3 linked regions of the Xenopus tropicalis genome follow. The protein of the gene in region 3 purifies or fractionates together with the protein of the main gene of each other region. This does not show direct contact. Links are inferred from orthologs where the notes say so. Each region holds a gene or a part of one and is shown on either strand. Other genes may lie near its edges.

Region 1 (3,557 bases), on a different chromosome or scaffold from region 3:
TTAAATAAATACAACAAAAACTAACATATAAATCATACCAAAAAGGACAGGGGTATCCCAGTGCCTAATGCTACCCACTCTCCTAACGCGTTTCGCACCGTGTGGCGCTTCATCAGAGGAGGTCTGTGTATGCCATACTCTGCCTGCCCTATGCTGCCTGTGAGAGGTGAACCTGGCAGGGGTTTGTTCTGGGAGTTTGTTAGTAGTTGGAAACAGCCATTAAATGGTCCCTAAGGTGTGTAATTATGTTGCTGGGGGTTGCTGTGCTATCCACAGGGGAGGAGGAGGCATATGGATTTAAGGGTGTGTCTTAATATGACATAATATAATTCTTTCACATATGAATAACTGTTGATATCCCCGCAGTGAGGACCAAGCATTTGGGTTTTTGGTGCACTACCACCATTGTGATAAAATGGGTGTGGTTTGAAGTAGGTGTGGTTCAAAAAAAGGGGAGTGGCCAAAACTGGCTTCCATTAGCGGCCCTCCACCGTGTATGCTAAAGAAATTCCGGCCCTCGGCACCGCAGAAGTTGGACAGCACTGGTATAAACTTTGACTAACTAGCATTATCTTCCCTTTATGTTTCACACCAGATTCACTGGTGTGCTGTGTGCACTGGCCTCAAAATTTGTGTGAGCATGGAAAAGTGTAAGAGGGCATCATGGCCAGTACTTTCTGCTAAACGGGATTCAGTTTTCTACTTAATTTAGCTACATAGTTTCATACTTAAGTTCTATGCAGGAATTTTTGGAGATAGAGGAGGAGAAAGAAAAGTATAACTAGAACATTATTTTATTAAAAACAGTTTAAGAAAAATCCTTCCAGTTTTTAAGTGAAGTGCGTGGGGCATAGGTTTCAATTATATATATATATATATATATATATATATAGCATGTTGCAAGAAGACAGGCACTCACGTATAAGTAGGTCCAAGGGAGCCTGGGTGCAGTCCCAAAATAATAGATGGAGTAGCTGTAGAGAGAGTCCGCACTCACAGGTCTTAAGAAAATATAGAAGTTTTATTCAAATCAACATTATTCAAATCAGTATATATATATATATATATATATATATATATATATATATATACAGTATATATACATGGATGAAGAGATGGTTGTAAGCTCTTTTGGGCAGGGCCCTCTTCACCTCTTGTATCGGTTATTGATTGCTTTATATGTTACTCTGTATGTCCAATGTATGTAACCCACTTATTGTACAGCGCTGCGGAATATGTTGGCGCTTTATAAATAAATGTAATGTAATGTAATGGTTAGACAATACCTGTTTTTTGTTTAAATAAACATGTCTTAGGAATGGCATCTTTACCTTTTTGTTTTTGGTTTTTTTTTTAGCACCAGTATCTTCTAAGAAATTGCTGTATTGAGTATGGATATGGGTAATCAACATGCTTCAGTCACAGCTCTTCAAGAAATACAGAAGAAGGTCAAAGAGATTGAACAACAAGTGGTGACATTTAGTGGTCTAAAGAGTGACCCAACTTATAAAAAGCTTGAAAAAGATTTAACTAAACAGTTATTTGAAATAGAATCTATTGAGACAGAGGGAAAAGGAAACATTCTACAAGCCCAAAAGAAAGCTACTGAAGAGACAGAAAGAGTTTTAAAGGAACTGGAGCAGAATGCAACCCATCCTTGCAGACTTGAGATCGAAAAGATCTTTAGTGAAACTCAGAGTTTGGTAGCGCTACATACTACACAATTTAGTGGGGAAGGTCAGAGAACAGATGAATTTGAGGAAGGAATTCAGAATATTTTGAAAAGACTTACTCAAGTAAAAACCGAGGGAAAGATCCCTCTAAGAAAAGCTAGGTACCGAACTTTAACTAAAGTTCTTGCCATTCAAGAAATTTTAGAAAGCTCTTCTAAACAACAAGTACTTTCTCTCCCTCTCTCTGCTGAGGCACATCCAACAGTTTCTAAAATTAACTCAATTATGTGTGATGTGAACAAAGCCAGATGCAGTCTCATAGCTCTTCTAGCTGGCGTCAATGACAATGAAACATACAGGCATTTATCTTGCACTCTTACTGGATTAATTGCAAACCTGGATGCTCTGGATGTTTCTGGCCACACAGACATAAGAGAGTATCGCAAAGAAGTTGTTAAGGAAATCAACAGTTTGCTGAAATATTTGGATTTAGAGGATGAAGCTGAGTTGGGAAGTGCTTATGACTTGGGCCAAAACCAGTCAATTGTAAAAATAGAAGAGATTCGCAAAGAAGCAGCAAAAATAAAGAACAGTCTTTTAGAAGTGCAGCAGCATATGTCTGACATCTATATGGGTACAAAGTCAGAGCTGCAGGGCCTCATAGCTAGCTTGGATGAAGTTAGTGTAGGGAGGAATCCTTGCATTCGTGAAGCTAGAAGACGAGCTGTAGTTGAGGTCCAAACTGTCATCACCTACATTGATCTAAAAGAAGCTCTCGAAAAGCGCCAGAGTTTACCAGAACACACAGTCTCAGAGCCTCCATGTTATATAGCTGTATGGACTGTCTTTGGACATTTATCTGAACTTCAAAAGGAAGTCCTCTTCTTTGATGGGAAGAGAGCTGATAAAAATTATATGAGATTAGAAGAATTTATTACTAAACAATTGCTGGCTCTTGATGCCATTGATTCACAGGATGGCCGTACAAAGGCTGCAAGAAAACAAGCTGTGAAGCTTGCAAATAATATCCTTGGATATCTTGATATGAAAACTGATGAATGGGAATACTAAAAAAAACACTGCTTTCGCTTTGCTTGCACTTTAAATATGGCTGTAAAGATGTCTCAGTTTCATCCTTGCATTATCATTGCAAGATAGGGTTTTTACTAAGCCAATTATCTGTCATAAAACAAAGCTTCAGTCAAAAGCTAGCCAGTTTTTGTTTTCATGTACCAATGGCGAAAAATTATAGAATGTTTAATGCTAAATATCCCAGTTTGACTTTATCAAGTGGAACAATAAGTGGCATATTTCTAGTTGTATCTCTCTTCTCATTTTTGTGCTGATTCTTAAATAAAAGTTCTGTCTTTTTTGATGGGGGTACAACATTGTCATTGTTATGTACACAAGTGAATAGTATGTACATTTTTAATTATATTGTTCAGTGTAAAAAGGCTGCTGCGTTTAAGGTATCTAATTACAAAATAGACATTGCAGCACATGCAGAATTAAAAGATGTAGTTCAGCTTGATTTCTGTTAATTCCTATGGGATTTTTAGAAGTGTGTTTATCAAATGATGAACTCTAACTTTTACCCAGTAATAAACAGAAATTAAGGGTGAATGTGGGTTTTCATGTATTAAGCTCTAAACTCATTTTTTAATAAATCAGCACCATTGTGTCATTATATATTTAGAGAATGTGCTTCACAAACCAAAATGTGCATCTCGTAATTCTGTACAGACAGCGAAAACATTCTTAAAGCATAGCACATGCTATTCAAAATGGGCAAAAAATTCAAATTGAATAAGGTTTTTTTTTAAAAAAAGATATACAAAAATTCACATTTTATCGCATTAAATCTTGCACAAGCTCTTGGCCAAA
Region 2 (4,143 bases), on a different chromosome or scaffold from region 3:
GGAGTTACAGGGGGAGCTGGGAAGTTGTGGGATCCCCCCCCCCTGAATCAGTGGTACTGGCAGATACATTAGATAGGTACAAGGAAGGGGAGTTACAGGGGGGCTGGGAAGTTGTGGGACCCCCCCCCTGAATCAGTGGTACTGGCAGATACATTAGATAGGTACAAGGAAGGGGAGTTACAGGGGGGCTGGGAAGTTGTGGGATCCCCCCCCTGAATCAGTGGTACTGGCAGATACATTAGATAGGTACAAGGAAGGGGAGTTACAGGGGGGGCTGGGAAGTTGTGGGACCCCCCCCTGAATCAGTGGTACTGGCAGATACATTAGATAGGTACAAGGAAGGGGAGTTACAGGGGGGGCTGGGAAGTTGTGGGATCCCCCCCTGAATCAGTGGTACTGGCAGATACATTAGATAGGTACAAGGAAGGGGAGTTACAGGGGGGCTGGGAAGTTGTGGGACCCCCCCCTGAATCAGTGGTACTGGCAGATACATTAGATAGGTACAAGGAAGGGGAGTTACAGGGGGGGCTGGGAAGTTGTGGGACCCCCCCCTGAATCAGTGGTACTGGCAGATACATTAGATAGGTACAAGGAAGGGGGGTTACAGGGGGGGGCTGGGAAGTTGTGGGATCCCCCCCCCCCTTATCAGTGGTACTGGCAGATACATTAGATAGGTACAAGGAAGGGGAGTTACAGGGGGGCTGGGAAGTTGTGGGATCCCCCCCCCTGAATCAGTGGTACTGGCAGATACATTAGATAGGTACAAGGAAGAGGCTGATGCCTTTTGAGTAACTAGAGGGTTAAATTAACCCTTTGCTCCGGGGCTGGGAGGCTTTTGGGGCCACACTGTGGGGGGATGAGGTGGGAGACAGAAGGGTGAGTTTAATGGGAGTCATTTACCAACCGAACCTACTATGCAGGAAGGAATGAGGGGACAGAGCGGTACAAGGGGCTGAGGGGGAACAGATCTCACAGGAATATCCCCCCCCCCCCCTGTGCCCGGGGCCCCGACCTCAACCCTAAAGTTTTAAAACTACTATCCCCCTGTATCCACTAACCCCCCCCCCCGTTACACTTAGTAACACTATCTCCCCCGGACTGACTGGCCCCCCATACACTATCAGAGCCTTACAGCCGGAGCCAACCGCACAAAACTTCCATCCCAGCCCCTCCCGGACCGGGCACCTCTTTCCGCGGGAAACGCCACACACTCACCTGTCCCCCCGGTCTCATTAGCGGAGCGGTCTCAGGGAGGCGCTTATAAAAGATCGGGTATGTGACGTCACTTACCTCGCACCAATTACATCCCTGCCTTGGCTCACACCTCCCATTTGCCTCCTCCCGCGGCCGCTGATTGGCTGGTCGCACTGCCAGTCCCTCACAGCTATGGCCGCCGCTCCGCATGTTCCTGTGCCGGTGGGATGTATCGGTGCCGGGCGTATGGCTCAGGGGGTCCTGGAGGGGATTCTGCGCGAAGGTACCGCCCCAACTCCTGCCCCACTGTTACTGTTATACCCTTGTCCCCTGGCACTGCCCATAGTTACACTGGTACTGCTGTCCCCTCAGTGACTGCTAATATCCTTATCATTTACAGTAGGGGGTACATTATCCCTTATAATACATGAGTGATACTCAGAGTTCCCTGTATAACTCAGCCTGCAGCCTTGTGCCTTTATATGGGGGGCACAGAACCCCTCAGTGACTGCTAATATCCTTATCATTTACAGTAGGGGGTACATTATCCCTTATAATACATGAGTGATACTCAGAGTTCCCTGTATAACTCAGCCTGCAGCCTTGTGCCTTTATATGGGCACAGAACCCCTCAGTGACTGCTAATATCCTTATCATTTACAGTAGGGGGTACATTATCCCTTATAATACATGAGTGATACTCAGAGTTCCCTGTATAACTCAGCCTGCAGCCTTGTGCCTTTATATGGGGGGCACAGAACCCCTCAGTGACTGCTAATATCCTTATCATTTACAGTAGGGGGTACATTATCCCTTATAATACATGAGTGATACTCAGAGTTCCCTGTATAACTCAGCCTGCAGCCTTGTGCCTTTATATGGGGGGCACAGAACCCCTCAGTGACTGCTAATATCCTTATCATTTACAGTAGGGGGTACATTATCCCTTATAATACATGAGTGATACTCAGAGTTCCCTGTATAACTCAGCCTGCAGCCTTGTGCCTTTATATGGGCACAGAACCCCTCAGTGACTGCTAATATCCTTATCATTTACAGTAGGGGGTACATTATCCCTTATAATACATGAGTGATACTCAGAGTTCCCTGTATAACTCAGCCTGCAGCCTTGTGCCTTTATATGGGGGGCACAGAACCCCTCAGTGACTGCTAATATCCTTATCATTTACAGTAGGGGGTACATTATCCCTTATAATACATGAGTGATACTCAGAGTTCCCTGTATAACTCAGCCTGCAGCCTTGTGCCTTTATATGGGGGGCACAGAACCCCTCAGTGACTGCTAATATCCTTATCATTTACAGTAGGGGGTACATTATCCCTTATAATACATGAGTGATACTCAGAGTTCCCTGTATAACTCAGCCTGCAGCCTTGTGCCTTTATATGGGGGGCACAGAACCCCTCAGTGACTGCTAATATCCTTATCATTTACAGTAGGGGGTACATTATCCCTTATAATACATGAGTGATACTCAGAGTTCCCTGTATAACTCAGCCTGCAGCCTTGTGCCTTTATATGGGCACAGAACCCCTCAGTGACTGCTAATATCCTTATCATTTACAGTAGGGGGTACATTATCCCTTATAATACATGAGTGATACTCAGAGTTCCCTGTATAACTCAGCCTGCAGCCTTGTGCCTTTATATGGGGGGCACAGAACCCCTCAGTGACTTCTAATATCCTTATCATTTACAGTAGGGGGTACATTATCCCTTATAATACATGAGTGATACTCAGAGTTCCCTGTATAACTCAGCCTGCAGCCTTGTGCCTTTATATGGGCACAGAACCCCTCAGTGACTGCTAATATCCTTATCGTATACAGTAGGGGGTACATTATCCCTTATAATACACAACCTTATGGGGATCAACAGCTTATTAATACATTTATATATATTTTAAAAGGGAAAATTGCGGCTCAGAATGTTACGGTGAGTGCCCCAACGGACCGCAATCTGGAGAAATTCAAGGTAACCCATGTTGGTGTTATTTTTTTTTTGGTGGGGGGGGGGCAGCTAATTACATTTGGTTATTTGTGAATGGCATTATACCTCATAGCAGGACTTATAACCTGTAATACATTTATGGTTATTTTCCCATCTAAAGGGAATTTTTTTACAGTTAGTTCAGTTGCAATTGGAGGTAAATGATAATAATAATAAAACAGAATCAGAGCAGTACAGGGAGCTAATTCTGGGTTATTCCCCTCAGCTTCGCGGCTGCCGCACGTCGCACAATAACCGCTCGGTGGTGTCTCGCTGCCGAGTGGTGTTTTTGGCTACTAAGCCCCATATCATTCCCTCGGTCCTGGAAGAGATTTCCCCAGAAGTGACTGCTGAGCATGTGATCGTTTCCATGGCGGCCGGGGTCACGCTGCAGACCCTGGAGACGGTGGGTATAGTGGCTGTGATTCAGGAATGAATGTATATAGAATACTCAATAATAAGAATATTCCCATGAATTCAATGCCCCTGGGTGGGGGCGTACAAGCGCAGTGTACAGCAGCCCTAGTACCCTGGTCTTAGGCAGGAAGGAAGTGCTTCCGGAAAGGGAATTCTGGGAAATGTAGTCTTTATATACCCATCTTTCAAGGAGTTGCATGATGGTGCCAAATGCCCACAGATATTAGGGAAGGGTGTGGCTTATACTTGTACCCACCCAGGCTTGGACTGGGATTCAAAATAGGCCCTGGCATTCCCAGTACCCAGAGGCACAAACAGCCCCCCCCCCCAGCCCAATAAATAGTGACTGTCTGTGGCACCTTACAGCCCCCCTGGCATTCCCAGTACCCAGAGGCACAAACAGCCCCCCCCCAGCCCAATAAATAGTGAGTGTCTGTGGCACCTTACAGCCCCCCTGGCATTCCCAGTACCCAGAGGCACAAACAGCCCCCCAGCCCAATAAATAGTGACTGTCTGTGGCA
Region 3 (4,242 bases):
GACCACAGTTAAGACGCAGGATTCAGGCAGTTCCTCACCCTGAACCATAGTTGGCTGGAGGGGATCTGTTCCAGTAAAGGGCATCCATTCCTGGTATACAGCTAATACTCTGCATATCCTTTCAAGTGGGTTATACTGTTCCTTAAGGGTCACATCTGCTGTTATCCTCTGTGACCATTCAATCTGCTGTGTCTGTGAGTATAATCCCTGCGGCACTATTAAGTTGTGCCTTGTCCAATAAACTATTCTATTCTATCTGCACCACATAAGCTCTATCTAGTTGTAGTACAACTACACCCTCAGCTCCATTAGTACCTCCCATATAGCGGAGGCCCACTCCTGTGCATTAAGGTCGCATGTAACACATGCTCTATACCTATCACTAGCCTGGGTTTGGTCCTTAAATAGGCCAAATAGGTGTTACATATAGTATAAAAATGATGACAGTATCTCTTTAACTATCATTTTCCTCCCTAGAATAACCTAAACAAGGAGTGCCACAAAGCTCCTACTTCCTAATGGAAGTATCACACCCTACAGGGATATACCGTAGGTGCTGTGCCAGGCAGGGAGTGCCCAGCCAGGTGTGCTTGTTACACTAAAAAGCTTCAAAAAGGCCCAGGTTACATAGCAGAAAACAGATAATCTGTGCAGATTCCCATTGTATTTTATAGAGATTATATATTATCTGCTATGTAACCTGTGCCTTTTTTTCTATCTCTAATGGCCGCCCCTATGGCTACACAGCAGCTTTGTTTATATAAACTATAGGGGCAAAGACACATGGGGCGATTAGTTGCCGCGACTTTTTAGTATAATCCCTGCGGCACTATTAAGTTGTGCCTTGTCCAATAAACTTGTACTATAGTTCATGAGAAAGAACCTTTCTGGCGTCCATTATTCTATCTGCACCACATAAGCTCTATCTAGTTGTAGTACAACTACACCCTCAGCTCCATTAGTACCTCCCATATAGCGGAGGCCCACTCCTGTGCATTAAGGTCGCATGTAACACATGCTCTATACCTATCACTAGCCTGGGTTTGGTCCTTAAATAGGCCAAATAGGTGTTACATATAGTATAAAAATGATGACAGTATCTCTTTAACTATCATTTTCCTCCCTAGAATAACCTAAACAAGGAGTGCCACAAAGCTGCTGTGCTTCTGGGAAATGGATGTATGTTTACTAATAACCAGCTGGGCAGGTACCCAGTCAGGATAAGCAGCCCTGAGAATCAGTAGGCGTGGCTCTCACGGAAAAGCGATGCCTGACTGAGTCGCCTCTCCGCCAATCCTCTGCATGGGGGCGTGACCCTAATAATGTTTCCAGTGTCTGATTGGTCAGCTTGAGGGGGGGCGGACAGGCGACGTTGCCAGAGTACGGAAGAAAGATCTGGAAGGTTCTGGAGGTGGAGCTGCACCTACAAGAGAGGGGCCGAGAGTTGACAGGAGGAGCATACGGACAAGCGATTGGTGCTAAGGTACGTACTGCGGGACGGGATGGGGTATTGCTCTGTCTGTGGCTTCTGGCACATCTGTGCGTATAGCGCTGCCGGGCTGTTTGGGGATGTTCCATTTGCTGATGGGCAATAGGGGTGCCACTGATCGTTAGATAATGAGAAAGGAACAGAATGTGTCTGCATAGGGGATAATGGTGTGTCTGTTGTTAGGGGCCCTTCTGCCTTCTGTCAGTTACTCTCATAATTCTCCTAATATGAGGCAGTTACAGTAAAATCGGGACCAGTAATTCCCGGGTATACCTGCATATCTATAGGCTTAGGGAATGGGGCAGCTCATTGTTGTTTGGGGGGGGGAGTCTATATACCTGAATCAACCCATAATAACTAACTGGGGGGTACTCAAGGGGCAGCTGTACTTGGGTAGTGTAGTACAGGTATGGGATCCCTTATCTGGAAACCCGTTATGCAGAAAGATCCAAATTATGGAAAGCCTGTCTCCCATAGACTCCGTTATAATCAAACAATTCAGAATTTTAAAACTGATTCCCTTTTCTCTGTAATAATAAAACAGTACCTGTACTTGATCCCAACTAAGTTATAATTACCCCTTATTGGGGGCAGAACAGCCCTATTGGGTTTATTTAATGGTTAAATGATTCCCTTTTCTCTGTAATAATAAAACAGTACCTGTACTTGATCCCAACTAAGATATAATTACCCCTTATTGGGGGCAGAACAGCCCTATTGGGTTTATTTAATGGTTAAATGATTCCCTTTTCTCTGTAATAATAAAACAGTACCTGTACTTGATCCCAACTAAGATATAATTACCCCTTATTGGGGCAGAACAGCCCTATTAGGTTTATTTAATGGTTAAATGATTCCCTTTTCTCTGTAATAATAAAACAGTACCTGTACTTGATCCCAACTAAGATATAATTACCCCTTATTGGAGGCAAAACAATCCTATTGGGTTTAAAAAAATGTTTTATTGATTATTTAGTAGACTTAAGGTATAAAGATCCAAATTACGGAAAGACCCCATATCCGGAATACCCTTGGTCCTGAACATTCTGGATAATGGGTCCTATACCTGTACTGCTCAGCAGGGAGCCCATTGGCATTATTTCATTTGGGAAACTTGTGTAATACTATTATGTACTGGCCCCAAATAGTGGGATGAGCTGGTCTCCTTACTCTCTGTACAGCCCTGGAGTAACCTGTCACAATACCCTTTTTTGGCTGCTTACCCCTCTCAGCATCACTGCCAGAGGGGTATGGAGATCAAAGCTCAGCAACAATTGGATGGAAATCCCTGCATAGCCATAAATAATGTTTATATGTGAAGGGCCTGAGTGCTGGGGGCATAGCAGGATTGACAGAAAGCAAAATCAGCATTAATTGGTAGAAATATGGGCCCCACCCTAATGGAAGTATCACACCCTACAGGGATATACCGTAGGTGCTGTGCCAGGCAGGGAGTGCCCAGCCAGGTGTGCTTGTTACACTAAAAAGCTTCAAAAAGGCCCAGGTTACATAGCAGAAAACAGATAATCTGTGCAGATTCCCATTGTATTTTATAGAGATTATATATTATCTGCTATGTAACCTGTGCCTTTTTTTCTATCTCTAATGGCCGCCCCTATGGCTACACAGCAGCTTTGTTTATATAAACTATAGGGGCAAAGACACATGGGGCGATTAGTTGCCGCGACTTTTTAGTCATGGCAACTAATCTGCTTAGCGAAACCTCGTGAGTGATTAGTCACAGCGACTGCTATTCTATCCTATAGCAGAAGAGCTACTGCGATTAGTTGCCGCGACTGACTTAATTAAAAGTTGCGGCGACTAATCGCCCCGTGTGTCTTTCTAAACAAACACACAACTTTTACCTGCGCAGGGCAACAGTATATTATACTTTCATTACTTTTCAGTTGGTCTTCATTATTTATAGTTTTTGAATTATTTGCCTTCTTCTTCTTCTAACTCCTTGCAGCTTTTAAACGGGGGGGTCACTGACCCCGGCAGCCAACAAAAACTATTGCTCTGTGAAACTACAGTTTAATTGTTATTGTTACTTTTTAGTGCTTATTGTTCTCTTCCAAGTCCTCTCCTATTCATATATCAGTCTTTCATTTAAACAACACCATGGTTGCTTAGGTAATTTGGAGGCTAGAGACCAGATTGCTGCTGAAACTCCAAACGGGAGAGCTGCTGAACAAAAACTGAAATGATTAAAAAACTACAAATAATAAAAAAAAAATGCAGACCAACTGCAAATTGTCTCGGAAAATTACTCTCTTCATCATATTAAAAGTTAACTCAGCCTTGAACAACCCCTTTGTAACACTTTCATTTTTGTGGTGTTATTGCTACTGTGGGCACCCTTAGGGCCAAAGCACACAGAGCTACTTAGTAGCAGCTACTTGTCATGGCTACTAAACACCAGAAAATTAAATTCCTTGCCATAGACAATACTAAGAAATTGCCTCTGCTAAAATTCACGTAGAGACAATTATCAGTAAATGATCAGCATTGTCTATATTTGTAGCCACAACAAGAAGCTTTGTGTGTCTTAGCCCTTACTAGTAAGTTGCTAGTCTTGTACCACAACCCTGCAAGAAGAATCATGTAAATATAAGTATGTGGTTGCTATGGGTTACTGGCTAGGTATTTCCTATGTACCTGCATAACCCTGTTATTGTGCATTTCTGAAAATTGTGCGTCGTGTCAAGGATGTGTTTCCTTCTTTTACTTTCACTTTATTGGGCTTTTAGTTC

The links. Proteins that work in one complex are often made in the same cells at the same time.
Region 1: the proteins of dnajb1 (region 3) and bag5 purify together in Homo sapiens (affinity purification with mass spectrometry; 3 studies listed by BioGRID and IntAct, with this or other methods). This does not show direct contact. The link is inferred for Xenopus tropicalis from reciprocal best matches to the Homo sapiens genes DNAJB1 and BAG5.
Region 2: the proteins of dnajb1 (region 3) and pycr3 purify together in Homo sapiens (affinity purification with mass spectrometry; 3 studies listed by BioGRID and IntAct, with this or other methods). This does not show direct contact. The link is inferred for Xenopus tropicalis from reciprocal best matches to the Homo sapiens genes DNAJB1 and PYCR3.

Annotation. Positions count from the first base shown.
Region 1 is NC_030684.2:98,469,438-98,472,994, reverse strand, and holds bag5 (BAG family molecular chaperone regulator 5), read left to right. Parts: upstream 1-1,357; 5' UTR 1,358-1,391; coding exon 1,392-2,744; 3' UTR 2,745-3,046; downstream 3,047-3,557. UniProt on the Homo sapiens protein: Co-chaperone for HSP/HSP70 proteins. It functions as a nucleotide-exchange factor promoting the release of ADP from HSP70, thereby activating HSP70-mediated protein refolding.
Region 2 is NC_030682.2:151,251,592-151,255,734, forward strand, and holds the start of pycr3 (pyrroline-5-carboxylate reductase 3), read left to right. Parts: upstream 1-1,332; 5' UTR 1,333-1,386; coding exon 1,387-1,477; intron 1,478-3,125; coding exon 3,126-3,190; intron 3,191-3,431; coding exon 3,432-3,611; intron 3,612-4,143.
Region 3 is NC_030679.2:134,724,361-134,728,602, reverse strand, and holds the start of dnajb1 (dnaJ homolog subfamily B member 1), read left to right. Parts: upstream 1-1,436; 5' UTR 1,437-1,483; intron 1,484-4,242. UniProt on the Homo sapiens protein: Interacts with HSP70 and can stimulate its ATPase activity. Stimulates the association between HSC70 and HIP. Negatively regulates heat shock-induced HSF1 transcriptional activity during the attenuation and recovery phase period of the heat shock response.